Linked DNA regions of Lonchura striata. Each later gene encodes a partner of the first gene's protein in a complex. Links are inferred from orthologs where the notes say so. Each region holds a gene or a part of one and is shown in the gene's direction. Other genes may lie near its edges. The genes, in order: WNK4, KLHL3 and KLHL2.

Region 1 (7,735 bases):
AGCCCTCAGTGGCAGAAGGAAATGCACTTGCTGCCAAGCAGGCTGGGGGAAGCCAGGGAACTAATTTCAGGTGATTAAAATGAGATGTATTTATAGAGCAGCCTGGCTGTTTTCATCTATCTTTATTTTTCCATCAGAGACAAAACAGAGCAGCGTACCAGATTTTTGTCCTTCAGTCATATTTCCTTGCTGCCCCAGGGAAATGCAGTGGTTCCAGGGTGGGAAACACCACAAGAATAAAGGAGAAGGGGACCCTTGCTGCCCTTCTCAGGACAACATTTACTTTAAATTTGCATGTGCAGCCTGCTGGAAGCCCCTGGGTTTGTGCAGAGGTGATGGGGTAAGCTCTGTACCACTGTGGCTCGGAGAGCTTTAGGCTCTCAGTGCTGATAACAAAGTCCCCAACTTGTCAGAAGCTGTGGCCAGGTGCAGTTGCTGACCCTGTCAGCCCTGGGGAAGCAGATGGCTGTGCTGGGGCAGGGTCACCTTTCCCTGATCGTTGTCTGTATGTCACTGGCAGAGGTTGGGGGCAGGCTGGAGTGACCTCAGGTCAGACCAGTGTGGTCAGTCTGGGGGTCCAGCAGAGCAGATGGCACTTGCACGCCACAGGCTGCCCCTGTCTGGCATTCCCTGCCCTTGGGGCAACCTGGCACTGGCTCACCTGCTCCTGACAGCTGATGTCAGCATGGGGGAATTCTCAGTGTAGGTGAGATGCTGGAGTCTAGGGGCTGTGAAATGTGAAAATTTGTTCTGTAGCAGGAGCCCGTTGACCTGTACACTTGGTGGGATGTGCTGCCCTGGTGTGGGCACATTGCTCTGGAACTGTGGCAGGAGCCCAGGCTTCCTCTCCATGCCAGGCTCAGCAGTGCTGTGGGGGAATTCCTGAGTGCCAGCACTTCTGTGCTGAACAAAGGCACCAGCAATGCTCCTGAGTCACTGACATGATGGGCTGGTGGGGTCTCCTTTCTGAGGACCATCACCCCTGGGAGCTCTGTCATGGTCCTGCCACTGAGGGTTCTGAGCAAACCCAGCAGCAGAGGCTGTGCCATGAGCCCTGCAGTGCATCTGTCCCCACAAAACTGGCACAGCCTCTGCTTGATCAGGGATCATCCTCTCTGTCTGCAGCCACCAAAGTCTCTGTGTAGGATTCATGTGCTCCCAGTGTCTGCCCTGGGTTTGTTTCCATGTCCAAGATCTGCCTCTGCTTTCCTCCCCATGCCACCTGCATTGCCCCTTCCCTCCCTGGCTGCTCCTGTAGCCCTGCAGGGAGCCAGGGTGCTGTGCCTGAAGGTGTCTGCCTTTGATCCCAAACAATGATCCTTCAGCAGCCGGGCTGGAGTGTCTGTTCTCACTGCCTGTGTGCACGATGCTGACCTCCCAGCACTGTGTTCCAGGCTGGGAGTGCTGTATGTAACCTGGCTGTCCTTGAGGGAGTCTGTGTTCTTAATTAAATTTGCTCCCTTCTTAGGAAATGGCTGATGTGACATTAGATAAGCCTAAAACCAGCTTTTCATTCCAAGGCACTCCTGGCAGCAATTCCCGTCTCTTTTTCAGCTTCCTATTTAGTTGCTTACTTAGTTGGGGGGGGGGAGAAGGAGGAGGAAGAGTACGTCCCCTTTCCAGAGTGGACATTGTATAAAATTCCTTTTCCACACCCTCTGCTCTGGTTACCAGAGGCCACATCCAGCCATGCCTGTGAGGACCTGTGGGATCAGCTTCCCTGGGCTGGGCAGGGCTGCTGCAGAGAGGTGTCCCTGCTGAGGCCAGGGTGTCCCTGCTGAGGCCAGGGTGTCCCTGCTGAGGCCGTGGGATGGGTCCTGAGAGTGGCAGAGCTGCTGCCAGCCTGGAGGGAGCAGATGTCCCTCTGTGAAGTGCTGTCCAGCCCAGCCACACAGCCCTGGGGAGGGGCTCGCTGGAGGAGGTGGCTCAGGGTGGTTTTGGGGGGGTGGGGGTGGCTAGTACAACCCCCCCCTCCAGCCTGTGGCCCCTCAGAGGCCCTTGCCACATCTGGCCACGGTGATTAGGGCTCGCTGGCCAGGGTGAGGCAGAGCTCAGAGGGGCTGGTGCCAAGATAAGGCACTATCAGGCTGGGCACACTCAGATCCCACTGGTCAAGGAGGAAAGATTCTGAGAAAGATTTTCTTTAATGCAGCTGCTTAGGAGCAGGAACTGTTTCAGTTTGATAACTTTATATGTTGGGAAAAACGTGCAGGCAGGTCCCATCTGTGCCTCTGGGCTGAGGAAATCCTCTGCAGTGATCTGCCCAGGGTTACAGCCACAGCTGAGGTTTCAGTGCCATCGCTGCCTCCCTGAACTCACATGAGTTAGAGTGAGAGAGAGAAGGTCCCGTGGGTATGGGGTGGTGAAGGTAACAGTGAAATAAGCCCTGGGTGTCCCTGGAGCATCCCAGGACAGGCACCCTGTGCTCTGCAGCCCCAGCTGTGCATCCCCTTTGTCCAGACCCATCCTGGCCCCTCTGTGATCCTGCCCCAAGCTCTGGGGTCAGAATGGACAATTCCTGGCAGGGCTTGGCGGAGCCTGGAGCTGAGCAGGGCTTTGATTCATGATCTAATTCTGAGGAGGGTGATTACACAGTGCCTTGTACTCCTGGCAGCCAAATGTAGGCGAGAAATGGGTTATGTTCCCTGATTGTGGCGGTTCCTCAAAGTGAAGCCTGGCACTGGCACCTGCAGCCCAGAAATGTCACCCTGATAATGCTGGGGAGCTGCAGTGGGCGCCTGATTGTGGAACAGGAGCCTTCTGGTTTCAGGCCAAGCTGGCTGCAGATTGGTGTTCCTGGCCAGGTCAGGAGAGGATCTGTTCCCCTGCCCGAGCTGCCACCTCTCTACCAACTTCTGGTGTGGAGTGGCATTTGGAGAGATCATTTAGGGAATTTCTCAGACCACTCACAAGGGAGGTGTGGGAGGGGAGCACTTGGAGCAAACTTCTCCCCTAATTTCCTCCCCTGTCTGCAGGGGCCTCACTGGACCGGGATACTCCCCTGCTCCTCTGGGATCTTCCAAGGCATTTTGTTTCACGATGGAAACCCTTGATAAGGAGATATGAGCCTGCCGGGGACAAACTGAGGTCCCTGCCTGGCTCTGTGTCTCCTGTTGGAGAAGCAGGGCTCCCTGCCAGCCTGAGCAGTGCATGGGCCCTGGCAGGGACCTCTGTGTGGGGGCAGCCAGAGTCAACCAAGAGGGCCTCGAGCAGCTTGCCCCACTGTCTGGCCATGCTCAGAAGGTTCTGGGTAAGGCTCACCTGAACAAAGAGCATTGTTTAACAGAGCTGAGCCAAGCCATGTTGCATCTTACAACCCAAGAGTCACCCATGGCAGGGCCAGTGCAAGCACTGCACCTGTGGCCTCTCAGTCTTGGCTTTTTGGCTCCAGTGGCCACGGGCTCCCGGTGCCCCAGCAGCAGGCACAGCCCTGCAGGGGCTGGACACGGTGTTCTGCCAGCGCTGCTTCTTCACCTGGGACCAAGCCCCTGACATGCTCCAAGGAGTGCAGGGCTGAGTCGGGATGTGGTTGCTGCTCCCTGCTCTCCGGCCAGTTCTGCTCCAGCAGCTCTTGGCAGGGTGGCATCGATCAAACTCCTTGTTGGGAAGGAGGTACCTGTCTCCTGGGGCAGGAGGAGGTGGGTCGGGTGGGGTTAGCAGAGCAGAGATCAGCGAGACGCAGGTCGGCCAGGAACATTTCATTAAATACTTGTCCCTCCCTCTTGTCCCCGCCCCAGCGGGGATTTGTGGGGAGCAGCCGTGCGGGACGTGGCCACAGCCGAGCTGCTGACCGCAGTCACCCGGCATCACCCTGCGGGTGCCAGCTTGGCGTTTGGGAGACCACGACTGCGTTCCCTTTTCGATCCACTCCTTAATGTTTCCGGTATCGTTGAGTAGAAACAATCTGGCCTCAGGGAAAAGAAATCTGCGGTGGCCTCAATTGCTTTGTGTTTTATGTAAACAGCCTCACCGGCAGAACAACCTTCTCCTTCAGCCTGGAGAGACAACACGCTCTTGTCCGGCTGTTGGCTCCCGCGGGGCTGACACACACCTTCGACTCTTCCTATTTGCGTGACCCTAATTTCAGGATTTCGGACCGCAGTGAACCCGAGCGGGATTGTCTGGGGGGGAACCGGCGTCCCGGCAGCGGCTCTCCGCTGCTCCAGCACACGCTGCTCCGGGTCCAGGCTCAGAAACTCCGAGGAAATGTCTGAACCGGGGACATTCCTGCGTTAGTCACAGCAGCCCCGGAGCCCCGCGGGGGCGGCGGCAGGGACGGGGCTGTCCTGCGGGGAGGGGACTGCGAGGAGCCCCGGGGACAGCGCGGACCCGGTGGGCGCCAGGCGGTGACCCCCGGCTGGGAGGGGACATCCCGGGTGCTCGGGAGCGGTGCCGGGGCGCGGGGCCCCGCTCGCAGCCCGTGTCCGCAGCTGCAGCTGGGCGCCGTCCCGGGGCCGTGCCCGGTGCGGTGCCGGTGCGGTGCCCCTGCCCGGCGCGGGGCCGGTGGCGCAGCGCGGGCGGGGGGCGGCGGTCGCTCGGGGGCGGACCCGGGCGGGGCGGGGGCGGTGCCGCCGGGCGGGGCGGCGGCGGTGCCGGGGCCGGTGCCCGGAGCGGGTCTCGGCGGTCGCTGCTGGCTGCGGGGTGTCGGAGGCCACGGGTGCGAAGCTGCGCGGGAGCGGCCGCTCCCACCGGGCCGGAGCCGATGCTGGCGGCCGAGCCCGCCGCTGCCGGAGCCATGTCCCATCCCGAGGCGGAGCGGGCGGACAGCGGCTCCGCGCCGCAGCCGGAGCCGGAGCCGGCTCCGGGGCTCACCGGACGGGCCCCGCACCGTAACCGCAGCCGGCGGTCCTCGGGGCGCGATTCCCGACGTGCTTCCTCCCGCTTCAACCGGCGGAGCTCGGCCGAGCTGGAGCTGCTGGGGTACCCGGCGCCGGACGGGGAGCGCGGGGGGTCGCCGCCGCCGCCGCCGGCCGCTGCCGGGCTCCGGGAACCCGAGGAGACGGAGAGCGAGGAGGTGGAGACGCGGGCGGTCGCCACCTCCCCCGACGGCCGGTTCCTCAAGTTCGACATCGAGATCGGCCGCGGCTCCTTCAAGACCGTCTACAAGGGGCTGGACACGGAGACCACCGTGGAGGTGGCCTGGTGCGAGCTGCAGGTACGGCCCCTGCCAGCGCCTCCGCCCCTGTCTGCCCGCACCCACAGACCCCCGCCCCGGGGCAAGGGGCTGGAGAGAGGCACCTGGACCCTCTTCTGTCCAGTTTCCATGTGCAGCCCTCCCCGGCCCTGACCCTGCTGCTGTGTGGGACCCGCGGGGCGCTTCCCGGGCTGGAGCCTGTACCGGCGAGGGCGGGCACCCTCGAGCCTCTGCTTCTGCCCTGCGCTGTGCCCATCACTGCCCGTGCCTCGGTGCTTCGTGGGTCTGCTGGCCCGCACGCAGACTCCTGCCTGCTTAGTGCCGCCGCTCCTGGCCCTCCTGCCCATCACGTGCTGTTTTCCATTTGCTTTCTTGCTGCCTGCACTATGGAGCATGTGCCCACGTTCTTGATGCCAGTCCCTGCTCTGGCACTTAACAGGTGGATCTGGGGCTGAGCATCCATCCCACTGTCTTTCCGATGCTCAGCAGCTCGCAGCTTTCCCTCCAGGAGGACAGCGAGGGCAGCAGTGCCCTCTCTGCATGCCTGCCTGTGCTTGTGCTGGAGCTGCCTCCAAGGTTTGCTCCGATAGCCCTTGGTGTGCCCTGGGGCAGCGAGCTGGGGCTGGCTGTCAGCTGGGAACAGGGTACAACACGACCTTGGTGCTTTCTGCCTGCTTGACCTTGGCTGAAGTCGTGTACATGGCCACCTGTGAGTGGTTTCTGTGATGTTGCCAGGGGATGGCAGGATACTGGAAGAGCTGGACCTGTGGTTCCAGGTCTCTGAGGAGCATCCCTGTTCTCCTCTCTGCTGCCACACTCCTCCATCTCCTTGGCTGTCCTGCAGCCTGACAGCAGCATGCTGAGAGCAGTGGTGATAGTGTTGCCTCCACAATGCCTTTGCTCACTCAAGTGCTTTTGATGGGCCTGATCTTGTCCATGGAGGTGCACAGGGAGATCTGTGCTGTGGGGCTGCCTTTTCTCCTTGGAGCACCCGGGGAGGGGTTTTGGTGAAGTCCAAAGTCTCCCTCAGGCTCCTGAGCCTGGGATGGCTGCTGTGGTGGGAAGGTCCAAGTCCTTGTTGACACAGAAAAACGTGTCTTTCGAGTTTGTTGTCTTGTTCCTAAAAGCTCAGTGCAATTGCAGGTGGCTGCCAGGGCTGGGTCCTTGGAGTGGCTGCAGCCCAGCAGAGCAAGAAGAGATCCTGAGAGACTGGTGGGTGGTTTTTAGAGGGCTGACTATGGCCTCGTAGTGAGGAAGGTGAAGATTTGCCCCTCACCCCCATGGATTCCACAATTGCTCCTGTTGTTGAGAGTTCAGTTCAGAGCCAGCTCAGTTCTCACAAAGCCTCACAGCTCTGTCCAAAGGCCCCTGAGCTCTCTTGAGTCCTACATCCCTTCAGGTGGCAACCACTGACTGGAACAGGCTCTCCTTGGTGAACTCAGGACCTTCCTCCCTGGATGAGTCAGTTGTGCCCAGCACTTCCCATCAGCTGGCTCCGTGTCCCTCCCTGTGGGTCTCAGCCCCATGGCCCAGCCGTGGCCCAGCTCCCCTGCCCTGGGGCTGGCACACAGCTGGCAGGGCTGGCAGCAGGTCTTGTTCCTGCTCCTCCCTGCAGGCAGTGCTGCTGTCTTGGAGGGGCTGCCAAGGGGATGAGCCTGCACCACTCAGGTGGAAGGGAAAAGGGAGCTGGGAAGCAAAATGCTTCCGTGTTCCAGTCCAGTGCTCCAGTCCAGCAGGCACAGGCTGGGCCCGTTGCTGGTCCTGCGAGCCAGCCAGGCAGGAGTGGCAGAACCACTCACTTGTCCCCTGGGGGTGGCTGTGGAGAGGCTGGGGTGCAGGCTGAGCTCCTGCCAGGGACCCTCCTGTGAGCATCCCATAGTGCTGGGTGCAGACCTGACCCCTCTGGTCCTGCACCCTCCCACGGGAGTGCAGTCACATCCCTGCTCCCACCCGTGCCTGCCCCTGCCCTCCCCACCCAGTGTTTGGCTGAATTCCACTGACTGCTCTTTATCCACTGTCTCTTGTACCCAAATCTGTGTCCCACAAGGGGCTAAGAGCACAGATGCAGACATTTAGAAGTTTGTTTTTTTTCTGCAATCGTGCAAAAATTGGACACTGTGACACAAATACGGGATTTGGAACCACAAATAAAAATGGTTGTGGTTCTGCTATTTTAAAAATAGCTTTGTCGTGTGCACTTCACAGTTCTCCTTCTATTACCTTTCAATTCCAAATGAGTACTTAACCTCAGGCCTGACCTGTTCTGCACCAGAGAACCTGGTTCAGTGCTGTGATGGATCCCAGTCCCCAACCCCAGCTCTCCCTGCTGTCCTTGCCCTGACCTTCCCTCCTCAGAGCTCGGGAGGCAGAGGTTGGTTTTGCCTGTCTTGTGAGACCCCTCGGGGGACCTGCCCATCCCTGTCCCCTGTCCTGAAGGCAGCGTCTGTCTGTCCCTCCCGCCCGTGTGCACAGCCCCACTGTTTGTGCTTTCCAGCTTTAGCCTGGCACTATTTCTGTCCTAGGTGCTGCGGGCGGTGGGGAAAGAGGAAGCAGGGAGGAAACCAGAGGCCCAGAGTGGGGTCGAGCTGTAAATACCTGACT
Region 2 (7,022 bases), on another chromosome or scaffold:
AGTCAACTGAATACTGGCCTTTGTTCCAGTGCCCACAAGAGTTGTTTTTACAGCTTTCTTCCTGATTTTCTTTTCACATTGAGCACTAAACAATAAAATCAATCTGAAAATCTTCCTGCAGATTTCTGATAAATATGACTGCAGGGCAGGAAGTGTGTGCCTCTGACATAGGTGACTGATGCTCCAGGAAGGAGTCAGGAGAGCAGCAGGAAGAGCATTTTCAGCTGGTGGGTGACTGCTGTGTAGGTGAGCAGTGGAATGGCTCATGCCCCAGAAATCATAGATGGGGGTGAAGATGGTCAGGGGTCGTTGCCCTAAAGGTGGTAATGTTGTTATGAATTGTTGCAATAATCCCGCTCTTTGTAGGAATCGTGATTTATACAAAAGACTAAAGGAAGACAGTGTTCTGAAGCTGGAGCACGGCAGTGGGATGTGTGCCAGCAGAGGGCAACAGCCCGGAGCGCCGCGGGAGAGGCTGGTGGCTCCTGCAGCATCTCCGCCGGAATGCACGTCCCGGGGGGAATGCTGGCCTGGCTGCTCCAGCCCCTGCTCTACAATCAGCTGCTTTAGAAACCAGCGCTCCAGTGCGAGTCTCTGACTGCTGCAGCTGCCAGAACAGCCCTGCTTCCAGCCCTGGGAAGGTCCTTACCTGGGAGGTCTCCCAGAGCATCCTTTTGAGTCTTGTGAGAACTTGGATTCCTGGGAGCTGCTGCAGCAGGTGAATTGTAGCTGCTGGTCTGGTTTTGTTACTGAGTTCTAGCAGCAGCTGGGCAGCAGATACCCTCAGGACTCCTCGGCTGAGGCACCTCCATCTCCAGGCCCCTTGGGAGCCAGTACCTGAGTACCAAGTGACTGCAATTGGCCTGGGAGCTACCAGGGCAACTATTCCAGCAGATAACCCTATATATTACTTTTCTTATCTTAATATCCTTACAGAACCTTTTCCAAGAAATCATATGGTCTAAATACCGATCTATCTAAATGAGTATCTACTTAATTAGGATGACAAAAGGAGTTTATTTAGAAGGGACTCCTGGAGATGATCTAGTCCAAAGAACCCTCAAAGCAGGACCAGCTTCAGGGTGAGATCAGTTTGGTCACTCAAAGATAAATATATATGCCTAATATATGCATTGAAAAAAATAAATATGTTTATATATATCAACATATATTTTTATCTAAATATCTGTATCTCTAAAAAAAAACAGAATGAAAAATAATTTAGGCTGTGAAGATGCAGCTTTAGAAGCTTCTGTGAATACAGTGTTTTATTTACACCTTTCCCAGCTCTTCAGTGCTGAAAGCATAGATTTTTGAAGAAAGTTAATGAATAATTTAGTGAAAGATATTATGCAACTAAGCAGGAGAGCTGCTAAAGATAGGAAATGGCTTGATATGGGTCTCTGGAGCCTGAACATTGGTATATACCTGGAAACAGGTATGTACAGGGGAGTGAAGTGTTCCTGAACTGCTTGCACTGTATCCAGGCTGGATGATCCAGTGATTCACAGCTCTTGCAGTTTGCCTTGCAGAACTAGGAAGGATTTTTCCCAATTTGATGCCATTTGCTTTCTGCTGGGTTTTTGGGAGGCAAAGTGACCTTTCAGGCTTCTGCAGAGGCTGTGGACATTGACAAGGTGCTGTCTGACTGTACTGGGGCTCTTCACAAAATTAAATTTTCGTAAGCATTTGGTGTCCTTTCCTTATAACCTCAGCATTAAACCAGCTGCTGGATTTTGGGCCAGGAGAGAGTTTTGGACCAGACTGGTAGGGATTGTTTTTATTCCCTCCCTTCATGCCACTTTTATTGAAGAAATTCCTTACTGCTGTGGAGACATTGGCAATGCTTTTCTCTCCCATCTCCCTGTGGCTCCTTGGAATTGGGGTTTTGGTCTTTCGCTGTAGATCTGAAAATTGTCACAGGAATCTGGAAAGGTTTTGATGGGCTGAGGGATGGTGGGACTGGCTGGAACAGGTGTTTTGGGGACCTTTCTCCTCTGAGAACTGGTTATATGGTTTTCAGTGATGGAAGGTAGATTAGATGTAGGAGTAATTTTTGACTACTTGAGACTAGGAATTGTTGAAAGAGGCTGGAAAAATTCCACCCATCAGGTGTCACTAATTCCATTTAGCTGAATGCTTTATCGAGATACCAATCTTTGTACTTCAAAACAAACAAGAAGTTTTTGTCTTGGAATTGTTACCAAGTCATTATTATTTTGCAAGGCTGCTGTAAAGATAATCTCTGACTACTGGAACATGCTTTTGTCCCACTCCAGCAAGGATTATTCACTGTTTTGCTTGTCTGTCACTGTACCTTTCAGGATTTGTAGAATTCAGTGGTACACAAGCCTGTGGGGCAAAGCATATGAGAAGGTATTGCTGGTTTGATTCAATTTAGGTGCTTAGCTCTCAGGTTGACTGGAGTGAGATGTAAATTTTTAAGGTGAAAACCTAATATTTTGTTATTTAAAAACTTTGTGTTAATAAAAATACACAGGGACTTTGCAGCTCAGTTTCAGGACTTGCTTTTGTATCTGGACTTTTAACAATTACTGAGGGATTTACTCAGAGGAAACAAGCTCTAGCCCTCATTTCCGAGGTAAATTCTACTAATTTTATATAGTTCCTTTTTCTCTGGTTTGAACTTGTGTCTTGCAGTTTTGCACGTTGTGCATCAACAGTGTAAGAGTGGACATGGGGAAAGTACTCGAGGATATGCATGTTTTAAACTGAGAGTTTAACAGTATTTTCTAGGGAAAATGAAGGAATTTTACCTGAATTCTTTGTGAGGTTTGATTTCATGGCTTTATCTGTATTTCTTTTGTTTATGGGTAGGCTGCCAAATGGAGTTTAAATAGCAGGACTCTCAATCCCCATGTGTCTTTGATAAAGTCCTTTAAGTTTCAGGTACGTTGTCTATTAAGTTTTCTTACCTGAAGAATTGGGTGATGAGTAGTTAAGATTTTCAACAAGCTTTTGAAACCCTCCTGTGGAAGGCACAATAGCGTCTGTTCAATCATCATTGCTGATAGGTTTTGAAAAGATATATAAAACTTGGGCTGAGGACATGGCTTGAGGAGAAATATACAAGAGTGAGGTAATTTTATTTACAAAAGAGATGAAATGGCATCTTCAAAGAGAAATCTCTTGATACTTCTAGTTATCTCTTCCTTTTGCACAAGAACATTTTGAGAATGGATGAGTAATGAAGGAGGCAAGTGTTTCTTGTCTTTAATATGATTAACCTCTAAGGCCTCGCTGGTGCAGAATACAACTGAAAAAATCTTTTAATAAAATGAGGGGGGAAAAAGATTTTTGTAGAACTCTGTGCATCTGTATCAATTGGAATAAAAATGACAAATGTAATTTAGTTCAGTGCTTTAGGCTAAAAAGCACCTGCAGTTGAGAGGGACCCATATTGCCTATGCATGGTGTGTTTGGCCTGATAGACTGCATAAAGGACAGCAAGGCTTTGATAAATTGAGGAATTGGGGGCAAGATCTTGATTGGGAGCGGGGAGTTTTCAGAGGGCTGGGACTCTCTCCTTCCTCACCATCACCTCTCCTCTCCTGCAGTGCCCCGTGCGGGGGCTTCACCTCGGCACCGGGGATGTTCAGCCACTAAACGGCGGGGACTGAAGCGTTCGGGCCACGCGGGGACAAGTCCCGGGCGGCGGGACGGGCGCTGCCCGTGCCGCGGCCGGCGGGTCCCGCTCGGGGCTGGCCCGGCCCGGCCCGGGGCTGCCCTGACCTATTTGGCCGCGGCAGCGGGGCCGGGTGCGGGGCGGTGCGGGGCGGTGCGGGGCGGTGCTGCCGTTGCCCGGAGACGCTCGCCAGCCCCGCCGGGGAGAGGAGGGGAGGGGAGAGGAGGGGAGAGGAGGGGGCTGCGCGGCGGCCGCGGCAGTCGGTGCGGCGGGGCGCGCCGGCACGCAGCGCTCCGCTCCCGCAGGAAGCGGCGGCGGCCGCTCGCAGCCATGCCGGGCCCGGGGCGCTGAGCCGGCCCCGCCGCCGCCCCGCACGATGGAGGAGGAGAGGTGGGTACCGCCGCCAGCCTTTGTGTCCGCCCGGAGCGTGCGGGATGGGGATGCCCTTCCTTCCCCGGGGTGCCGGCCGTGCGGGGCCGTGCGCAGGAATGCGGGGCGCGGCTGCGGGCAGGAATGCCTCCTGCCACGGGCGCCCGCAATGCTCGTGGATGTTGCAATGTCATGGTGACAGGCGGCTTCGCCCCGCAGCGAGGCACCGGAGGGCTTTCCGTGGGATGTGTTTGGGATGTGATTGAGGACGTGAGGGAGGCAGGTCGGGGGGTGCTCGCTGAAATGGAGGTGCCGGGCAGGGGGGTGGGATGCCGGACAGAGGGGTGGGATGCCGGGCAGGGGGGTGGGATGCCGGACAGAGGGGTGGGATGCCGGGCAGGGGGTGGGAAGCTGCCCCGCCGGCACAACGTGCTGGGCTTGTGAGTGCCCTGCCTACGCCTGGAGCCTCAGGCAGCCGACTTCGGCATTCCGCTCAAGGCAGACTCGCTGATATTCGCTGCTTTTCTGAGTCACGAGTGAAAATCCACATCGTCCGTGGATCCTTTGGGGTCGGTTTTCCTGCCGGCGTGTGTGGAAGCCGGGCGCTGTGCGGTGTCAGGGCAGTGCAGGGCATCCCGCGCACGGCAGCCGGGCCCCGTAGGCTTCAATTGCTGCCAGGCAGCTGGTTTGCTCCACAGCCTGCGTGAAGAAGTGTTTACTAATGTCCACTGAACCCATAAAAGATATTATTCTGCGCAGGGACCTCGTGGATGCCAGAGAGATGTTCAGTGTTTTGCCTCTGCCCTCATTACTCCCTTCTGTCAGGTGCCTTTTGCACACCAGAAGCTACTTGTGCTTCTTCAAACTAAGCATTAAACTGGTCTGGGTTTTTTTTACAATATTTTTTAAGAACAGGATATGCTGAGTGCTTTCTTTTGTGCTGGTGACCTTGCCGGGGGTGGGGGAACAGAGAGGGGGCTTGACTGCTGGTAAGACTAAATATCAGGGCTTGACAGGAGTTTTGTTTAAATATGATACATTAGAAAATTAAGCTGGAGTCAACCCCCAAATTCTGGAAATCTTCCTTCTGTTGAGGGAAAACATTCACAGCAGCCTGTAGGAGTTGTTTTCCAAGCTCCAAAGGGCAGCTTTCTACCCTTCTGTGACTCAAGGGTTGCAATTTTTTGTGTATTTAATGTGCAAAACCTTTCATCCTGCCACATTTCTCATTGTAGGGCTTCTGCTTCCCAAAATGGTGCGGACAGTCACCTCTGAACATTCATCCAAATATTAATTAATTTCAAGTGCCTTGAAATCTTTGTTTGTAATTCTAGATGCCAGCTCATGGAATGGGATTTCCTTTTTTTTTTTTTTTTCTTTATTTGTATAAATGAGCCTGTGTTTGAGGAAGTAGAACAGAGCTGTTTTGATACCCCAGACTGGGCTCATCCTTGGCACAGTTGTTTGTTACTTTTTTTTTTGATGCCTACCAGCAATGGTGTTATTTTGATTGGAGGCCTTTTTCTGTGGATAGAACAGTGAAAAAGCCACTGAAAAATACCTGGACTGTTTTACCTTACCCTTTTTTTTCCAGACCATCTGTTTTTAGGGCATGAAGGACTATCCCCATCAGCATGTTCTCTGCCTCTGGAAGCGAGGAATGATTACCCAAGTTCCTGCTTTCATTTCTAGTTTTTGAGAAGAGGAAGGTGGTCCTGAACTGATTGTGGGCAGTAATGATGTGGGATTTGATTCTTGGCAAGAAAAGTGGGAAATATTCACCTGCTTTCTGGTTCAAAAGGGCACAGTGTGTGTGGGGCTGCTTTGGCTGCTGGGAGCAAGTCCTGGGAGGAGGTGTTTGAAAATGACTTTGCTGGGTGAGCAAAACCGTGGACTCGGTCTGGGCTTGTTGCTGTGCTTTTGCCCCACATTTCAACTCACATCTGTGTTGGGCAGATTGGTCCTCAAATTTTATACTTGGTGGATTTCCTTATGGCAGAGTTCCCCCTGGTTTTTAATATTATTGCACTTTCCATTTCTGTGGTCAGTGAGGATCCGTGTTGTTGGTGCTCACTTCACCTCTGACTGGTCCCGAGCCTGCCCAGACTCAAATATCCTGTTAACTTTCACACCCAGGATGTTCAGTGGTATCATGTGCCCGTGGCATTGCACATGAGCAGAAATACCTGAGGGCAAGGGAGATTTAACCTGAAACATTCACATGTGGCACTAAAGTATTTCAGAGTCCTGCTTTTCTTTTATTGTGCTGAGAGTAAAATGACGGTACTTCTATTTTATGGAGAAATTGCATAAGGCTTACAGTTAGGCATGATACTCTGGTTCTGAATTTGCAAGATGTTTTTGAGTTTGAATAGAAAAAAACCCTCTGGAATGTTTTTTTTTTTTTTTTTTTGTTAAAATATTAAAACACCTGTGGTTTTATATTCAAGCTAAGGTAGTCTGTGGTATCTGTTTGAGAAATACAATATTTGTCTTTGAAAGCAAATAGTATTGTCATATTTGAGTTATTTCATGTTGTTTCCATTAGTGTCAGCAAAGACTTTTCTTCTCACTAGTTCCCAAAGTCTTCTTTCCCCCTGAGGTCTCCTTTGATATGAAAACCCTTTTAGGGATCTGCTGTATGCCAATTGTGTGTTTTCCTAAGCTAATGTCTCCATGTTGACCTAGGCACTGAAAAAAAATCAACAAAATAGGAAAATAATATTGCTATTAAAAGAAAAATAATCCTTTCCATTACTCTGCCTCCCATATGTTTTAATGATAATACATTTCTCTGAAATCCTCCCAAAACCCAGTTCAACATGTGGATCCCTTCAATCACTTTTTTTTTAATGTCTTTGTATGTACCTAAAGACAAATTCAGAAATAGAGATTTTTATAACTATGCCATTTCATGTTTTCTTTACTGTGTCTGCCTGACTAAAGGAATAAAACTATTGGCCATAATGCATTTGTCCTGTGATTTGGGGTATTGATTCTAAACAGA
Region 3 (7,610 bases), on another chromosome or scaffold:
TAAGCTCAATGAATTTTACAGAATGAATCTTATCCCTTCAGCTATTTTCATTAAGTATGTGTCATTCTTAGTGCTCCAGCACTCCATACAGGAAAAAAAATGCTAAAAAAGACAAAATATTTTAATCCATGCTTAATTGTATTTCACTGATTTTGGTCACAGTACAATTTCTCTTTGATAGCATCTGCTTTGCTATTCCTTATTTCACAATCCCAATTTACATGTTTTATTTTTTCTCTCTCTGCCTACTCTCCAGTACATATTCCTCTGCAATCTGGTCCCTTTCTCAGTCTGCTGCATGTGCTTCCTTGCATTTCCTTTCCATATTACTTTTCAGTGTAATTCTTCTCAGCTGCATTGATGTCCTTAGCTTGATGGTTCTCTGAAATTTTAAATATTCCATGCTTCTGAAACAAGAAAAAGGAATCTCTTCCACTAGAGTGAGGCCTTTTAAAATTAGGCAATGCTGGATTAATGCTGATATTAATACTAGTGTTTAAGACAAAAGAAAGTAGTAATAGCTAGTGTCTGTGTTGAACTCAAGTCCTACCATGAATTCCACAAAGGTCCTTGTGGATTTGTTTAGATAGAGGGGCCTGGGCTGAATAAAGGTCTGCTGCGGGATGATTATGTTATTGAGTGTGAAATGCTTGGGGAAAAAAATGCGAGTGTGCCCTCATGTATTTTGGATAAATGCATACTTATCTTTACATAGATTTTGTACATAATTTACTCACAACTCAATTTAGTAGGATACAAATATAATGGATAATCTAAAAGCTAACAAAGTGAAGAAGCACATTGTTTTTCTGTTTGAAGCCACAGGAGTATGGAGAGGTACTTAAGTATTTGATTCTAGAGTCCTTCCTTTCCTCTTCCCTTTTCATGAAAAGAATCAGCAGCATGTCCTCATAAGCATTCTACCCAAATCCTTCAGAAGTTATGACTTCTGATATCTTAAACAAGAGCAAATGTTCTTATTTTCTGTCCTTTTTTGGAGATGTCTTCCTAACCTATATTTGTCAATTAAAAATAAGTAAGAACCTATATCAGTGTCCTCTGTGGCTAAACCTAAACCAGATTTCTTCTAACACATCAGTATAGAGCATGATCACTTAAACATGTTAATAAACCACCACATATGTATGCAGTCACATCGACTTTTACCAGGATTAGTTATTCTATTTGTAGGACCATAGAACTTGTGGGACTATCTTGTTAGCAAGCAGAGCTCTGCTAGCATAACTTCATTTTCACTGGATGCAATTCACTAATGGATAGTGTCGGAGTTTCAGTATCAGTAAAGTATTTCTAGTGTCAATAGAGCTGAAGGAATGTGTGATCCTAAGTAAGCATTGGCCACATTCCTTTGTAACTCACTAAAACAAGTGGGAAAGTACTAAGAATTATTACAGGGACAGCCTGAAACATGACAGGGAATTTTCTCAGTAAATGCAGTAATTTGAATTGCTGCAGCATAAACAAAAATGGCAGCTGTTTCATCAGAGATAAGATATATAGCCCATTTCCTTTCAAAACTACATACATACACCCACAGACATATATAAATAAGTTTTTTCTCTGAAAGTTCTTTTCTAAGAAGAGATATTGGATCAAGCAGAATCCCATAAAAATCTAGGCATTGTATTTAAAGGATGTGTTTCCTCATGGTTAGAGATATAAGTTGTTTTGCCATAACCACATAATGTATTTTGGATGAAGCAGTTTTTGCTTCGATTCCTCTTGAAATTACTGAATTACAAAGATATAATTTTCAGGAAAAAAAATTGAACTTTGCCCTATTTGTTTCTTTCTGATGCTCTGCATCACAGAAATTAACTGAACTAATGTTGAACATTTGGCTCTGAAGCCAAAACAATACTGCAAGAAAAGGAGAGAAGTCACAGGTTGGCAATGTTTAATGTTAAGAATAAATATTTGTACTGGTTTTGGTTGAGGTAGAGTTAATTTTCTTCACAGTGATTGGCATGGACCTGTGTCTTGGATTTGTGCTGAACAGAGTTGATAACACAGAGATGTTTTTGTTATTGCTAAGCAGGTCTTACACAGACCCAAGGCCATTTCTGCTTTTGTACAGCCAGGCTGGCGAGGAAGTTGACAGTGCATGGGAGGTTGGGAGGAGACACAGCCAGGACAGGTGGCCCCAACTGACCAAAAGGACATTCCCACACCATGTGACATCATGCTCAGCATACAAAGTGGGGAGAAGGAGGAGGAAGGGGAGAATATTTGGAGGGATGGTGTTTGTCTGCTCAATAACCCTTATGACAGGGCCCTGCTCTCCTGGATGGCTGAACACCTGCCTGCCCATGGGAAGCAGTGATTTAATTCCTTTATTTGCTTTGTTTGTGTGTGCAGCTTCTGCTTTCCCTGTTAAACTCTCTTAATGTCAACCCATAAGTTCTCTACCTTTTAGCCTTCTGATTTTGTCCCCAGTCTTACTGTTGGGGGAGCAAGCAAGTGGCTGCCTGGGGTGTGGCTCCTGACTGGGGTTAAACAACAACAACAATAACATTGCTAAACAGTCCTGCAGTGTTAGCATGGAGCAGAATCTGCACAATCTGCAGCTGCCCACCTACTTGTGCAAAGAGTGTACAAAGCCCCTCGGCTTCCAGACCAGCTCACAAGTTTACAATAGTCTACCATGGACCCTTAAACACACCACAGTAGAATTCACTTAGGTCTTATGGATCAGTAGAAGCTGGGATCCTTGTCTTACGAAGTGATGTGTCCAGGAGTTTACTCTAAATTACAGAAATTTGAAAGTGTGATGTGACAGTCATCATCCACTCTCAGATCTACGCAGGCCATATCTGCTTATGAACTCAGACCTTGGACATGCTGTGCTACGTGGAGCCAGCTGAATTTTAAACCTCCATTTCAGAGAGCATTATTTCTGGCTGGCTCCTTTGGAGCAGACTTCCCTGCAAGCAGGTTTTGTTGTGTATTTAAATCTTTAGCAAGTACCTTGTCTTCTCCAATACAACCCAGAGGCAAACTTAGTTGTCTCTTGAGAAGAGATAAATTCAGTAGTTACAAAGCACAGACTTCATAAAAACCGGCACTGCCAACTGTGATTATTTAATTTAGAAAAACCTCCAGTGGTAACCCATTGAAAAAATGTTGAAGTGTTCCCAAATCAAGCATTGCTGTAGTTAAAGAGGATTGGTAAACTGAGAAAACAAAAATGGCATTTTCCTAGTGAGGAATATTACTGGAAATTAGCAAAAATGAAAATAACAGAATAAAGTACATTTAGTTTTAATAACCAGTGATTTTATTAGAAACAATGGTGAAGGCTTTCAGCATCCATCCGTAAGTCTTCACCCAAAACACTCCTGCCATTTTGTTTTGTGTCTTATTTGAAATACGCTGCCCTAAACTTATCTCACTCTTAGAAAAACAGTGCTGATCAGTTATTATTAGATTTATTCATTGAGAGATACTATTCCAATTTAAAATCTTTTACTCAGTGAAGAAGCATTTTAATTTTACAGACATAACCAGATTTAAATATCTGAATTGTGTTCAGCCTGCTAAATCCACTTTCCACTACCTGATTCTTCAAAGATTTGGAAGCAATTTACAGATGTTTAAATACAGTAAATTCTTCTCTAGTGCCCCAAGTCAGAAGTTGCTAAATGTAGCATTCTTGATCATTACTTCAATTAGTGTTGTTTACAGAAACAGGTTTGAAATAGATGCCTGTTCATTTTCCTTTTTGCCATTTTGCATCACAGAGGCTACTTCAGCAAACACTGAAGCACAACTCAAGTACTTAATGATCAACGTTAGCAATGTTTGCAAAACACAGGAGGCCAGGTGTTTTGAGCGGCAGTGCTCCTGCTGGACTCGATCAAATAAAAGACTACGACATTCAGCAGGTCACAGCGAACTAGACCCTGCTCAACTCCTCCGTCCCGACGCAGTTCTGCTCTTCCCTTCGGCCCCTGCTCGAGCAGAAACCACCTGCACGACCTGGTGTCGGGCCAGCTCCTTGGCTGGCCTGCCAAGGTGCCCATGTTCCTCATGGAGTGCCCCTGCTGGTGGATTTTCTTACTAAGGAGACCTGGGACTGCTTTAATTGTTTTTCCCCGGTGGGACAGAGCACCTGCGTGTCCCCACGCCGGCGCCCCAAGCCAGCCTCGCCGGCGCTGAGGCCACGCTGGCCCGAGCGGCCCGCGGGACGTGTCGCTGCGCAGGGCGGCTCCGGGCGTCTCTCCGGCCTGCCCTGAGCCAGCGCTTTCCCGGGAAGCGGGAGACGCGCACAGGGCGCTAGACCCTGGCTCATCCCACTTGGGGGCCACGCTTCTTTCAGCAAGGGCAGCGGCGTCTCACCCCCCTTCCTAAAGCCCCTGGGCCGCGGCTGTCCCCCCTCCAGGGGGAAGGCTCCGGCGGGGCGGCCCCAGCCCACCGCGGGCTCCGCAGCCCCGGCCGCACCGCAGCCCCGGCCCCACCGCAGCGCACCCCGCGCGGGCCGGGCCGGGCCCGCGGCCGCCGCGCCTGCGCACGGCGGCCCGTCCCCGCCGCGCCCTCCCGCGGGCGGGCACCCGGAAGCCGCAGCGCCGGCGGCTCCCGGCGGCGGCGGGGCTCGGCCGGGCGGGCGCAGCCGCTCCCCGCTCCCCGCACCAGCGGCGGGGCAGCGCAGCTGGCATGGTGCTGGCGGCAGCTCGCCGCGCCCGCGTTGCACGGAGGAAGCCCGAGCGGAGCCGCGATGGAGATGCTGCTGCCGCCCGTGTGAGTGCGGCGGCGGCGGCGGGGCGGGCGGGGAGGCAGCCGGGCGCCCGGAGCTCGCCGGGACGGCGGCGCGGAGCGGAGCTGTGCGGTCCGTGGGCTGGGGCGGCGGGTCGGGCCCGGCGGCGCAGCAGCGAGCGGAGGTGCTCGCAGCTCGGGCGGGCCCCATCGTGGGGAGCGGTGCCTGCGGATGGGGGACGCTCGGAGCCGGCAGCGGGGCAGCGCCGGCGGGAGGGTCGTGTCGGCGACCTGATGGCGGAGCCGGTGCCCGGCTGGCCAGCTGCCCCGGCCAGCGCGGCCGCCCGGCGCTCGGAGATGCCCGGTTGTGCCGCTGCGGTGCCGGCCGCGGGCGGGGGAGCGGGCGCGGAGCTCCCGCGGGCGGGCTGCGCTGCCGGCACCCCCGCCCCGCCGCCTTCCCCTGTGCCTTCCACCTTGTGGGGACAGGCGGGCTTTTTCTCCCTCCTCCCCCTCACTCCTTCTGCTTCCTCCATATGCGGTCCCAAATTATTCCTTGTTTGACTCAGCAGTCGTGCTTATCTCACTCCCGGTTTTCTGGTTATTTAGTTAAGCATCTCTTTTAGTGGCAGTGCCCAGGCGATGCACTCCAGGCAGCCATCTCCAGCTGCACCTCAGCTGGCCTCCCCAGTCCTTTCACAGGCTCCGGTTCAGTGCTACTTCATCCTTTGCCTTCGGTAGGTGGATTTCAGGCGTGCTGTGCTTAAGGTTCTTGAGAACAAACCGAAGGAAACCAGTTACAGACAGCTCTGACCCAGCTGGCAAAATGGTAAGAGAGACCCCAGTACTTCAGGCAGACTGGCACTTCCCAAAACAGAAGGAGTATGACTGATGGTTTTGTAGGGTTCATTACCTTAAAACAAAGTAACCCTTTGTGACAAACTAATGAATTCGGTGAATTAATTTACGCTTCATATGAACTCCTCCATCTAATCCAGGGTGCTTGGCAGCTCTTTATGGACAACTTGATCACTTTTTTTTCCTTGCATAGCTGTATTTGATGTGTACACAGCCTGTATATGTATGCAACTAAATAGACATCAGTAGCTGATGCATTGTTTTGGGATGTAGAAAGTTGCAATGAAAGTGTTCTATCTTGGACTTGATAGATCGGTGGTATAATTAAAAGCTGGATCTCTTCCTTATAGGTGTTTGGTGTTCTGAATATTTTCTGCAGTCATTGATTTCTGTCTATAATTTTTTGGAATTCTGATCACAACATATGTCACATAATGTAGAAAAGTAACCTTTGGTCTAAAGGAGTTTGCTAGACAGAATGTAATTTTTTTTTTTTTTTTTTTTTAACCTCTGTGAAGTAGCATATGTGTGTGCTGAATAGCATGTAACTTGTGTGGGGTTTTTTTTGATGGATGCAGAATTCCTGTCTGTAATTTGTCCTTTTTCATTAATTAATTGTATACTTTTCGAAATTGAACATGGAACTTTTGATTCATATCAGTTTCATGATACACTGTAGTAAGTTGATAGTACTTAGAGTTCTGTGGCTGGATGTTATTTGGTTAGTTTTATGGAAACTTTTTACATTCCTTTGTTAATTGATGCAATTTTGTATTTCTTTGCTCCAAAATTTTGTAGCTACTTTTGGGATAATAAAAAATAAAGTCAGCTACTTGGCTTTGCACTATTGCAGTGCACAGAACTTAGAGTTCTAGGTTAAAATCTTAAATTATTGTTGGATTTTTTTTTTTAAGTTCATTAGACATGCCCAATTAAAAAGTTTCAGGTATAGTAGAAGAGAGGTTGCAATTATGTGAGTCACTGAATATGTTCAGTTTGAGTGTGCTTACCTAATGCTGGCAAGGCTGAATTTTCATTTGCAGTCAGATTGTTGATGTCCCAGGGCTTGTGGCCCCACCAAATGACTTTTCAGTGCCTTTGCTTATTTTCAGCTTAGAGGTTCAGGAATACAGTTAAAATACTGTAGAATCAAGCATCACTGATGCTAAGCATTTTCTAAGTGCTACAGCAACACAGTTTGCTTTGTAAGAACAACATTGTGACTGTAAGCAGGAAACTCATTGATTTGGTTTGGCATGAAAGGCCTGCTTGCTGTTTGGACAGTCCAAGTGACTGAGGAGTGTATATGGTAATTTTTCTAGGGAAGTTAGGGTATGTAGAACTTGGGGTATGTCTTACAGAAAGAATGAATTGTAGCTAGAGGCAATGATTTTTCACACTGCCTAGTTCTTCTCTTGCTGTTTGGAGTGGGGTTTTGAGAGTAACAAAAATTAAGAGGCTGGTCATTTATGTACATTATGGTTTTCAAAACATCGAGTGCATTTACAAAAGTACACAACTTTTCTGTCACCCGTGTCTTATGCTGTGGCTAGGGAAAGCCTGGATAATTACAGTAGTCATTTTGTGGTCTTCCTGTCAGAGAAGAACTAGGAAACAGTAACTGAGGTCCTGATAGAAGGGCAGAAAGGAGCTCTTACCTGACAGTGAAGGCATGAAGAGGCTGGGGTGACGGTTGCTGCGTCTGCCATTGATCTATATGGGCACTAGGAGAAAAGTTCCCAAAACTCTTAATTCTTCTCTCACTTCAGAGCTTATTGGAAATATTCTAGACTATTTCTCCACTAAATAAGATAATATTCACAAAACCAGAAAACATCTTCATGTTTTCTGTAGTGTAGATTATTGCTAGCCTCTCACAATGTCACTAGTATTAGTCACCAACTTACTACTTCTACAGGAATTCTACCTATTCCTCTACACCTTTGGTAACAGGGAAACTAAAATTGCTTGGAGTAAAGAAGCAATTTCAAATGCAAATCTTCTCCCCAAGATGAAGGTGAACAAAATAAGAAGTGACATCA

Evidence for each region.
Region 2: the proteins of WNK4 (region 1) and KLHL3 are in contact, whole or in part, in a crystal structure (PDB 4CH9), measured with the Homo sapiens proteins. The link is inferred for Lonchura striata from reciprocal best matches to the Homo sapiens genes WNK4 and KLHL3. Residues at the interface, in NP_115763.2 of Homo sapiens: Glu557, Pro558, Glu559, Glu560, Pro561, Glu562, Ala563, Asp564, Gln565; in NP_059111.2 of Homo sapiens: Arg339, Phe355, Gly357, Ser358, Leu359, Arg360, Thr386, Phe402, Gly404, Gly407, Ser432, Tyr449, Gly451, Ser481, His498, Arg528, Tyr577.
Region 3: the proteins of WNK4 (region 1) and KLHL2 are in contact, whole or in part, in a crystal structure (PDB 4CHB), measured with the Homo sapiens proteins. The link is inferred for Lonchura striata from reciprocal best matches to the Homo sapiens genes WNK4 and KLHL2. Residues at the interface, in NP_115763.2 of Homo sapiens: Glu557, Pro558, Glu559, Glu560, Pro561, Glu562, Ala563, Asp564, Gln565; in NP_009177.3 of Homo sapiens: Arg345, Phe361, Gly363, Ser364, Leu365, Arg366, Thr392, Phe408, Gly410, Ser411, Thr412, Gly413, Ser438, Ser439, Tyr455, Ser487, His504, Arg534, Tyr583.

Annotation. Positions count from the first base shown.
Region 1 is NC_134627.1:6,218,658-6,226,392, reverse strand, and holds the start of WNK4 (serine/threonine-protein kinase WNK4), read left to right. Parts: upstream 1-4,687; 5' UTR 4,688-4,702; coding exon 4,703-5,155; intron 5,156-7,735. UniProt on the Homo sapiens protein: Serine/threonine-protein kinase component of the WNK4-SPAK/OSR1 kinase cascade, which acts as a key regulator of ion transport in the distal nephron and blood pressure.
Region 2 is NC_134617.1:7,838,185-7,845,206, forward strand, and holds the start of KLHL3 (kelch-like protein 3), read left to right. Parts: upstream 1-3,929; 5' UTR 3,930-4,022; coding exon 4,023-4,036; intron 4,037-7,022. UniProt on the Homo sapiens protein: Substrate-specific adapter of a BCR (BTB-CUL3-RBX1) E3 ubiquitin ligase complex that acts as a regulator of ion transport in the distal nephron.
Region 3 is NC_134606.1:38,848,184-38,855,793, reverse strand, and holds the start of KLHL2 (kelch-like protein 2), read left to right. Parts: upstream 1-4,595; 5' UTR 4,596-4,735; coding exon 4,736-4,758; intron 4,759-7,610. UniProt on the Homo sapiens protein: Substrate-specific adapter of a BCR (BTB-CUL3-RBX1) E3 ubiquitin ligase complex that mediates the ubiquitination of target proteins, such as NPTXR, WNK1, WNK3 and WNK4, leading most often to their proteasomal degradation.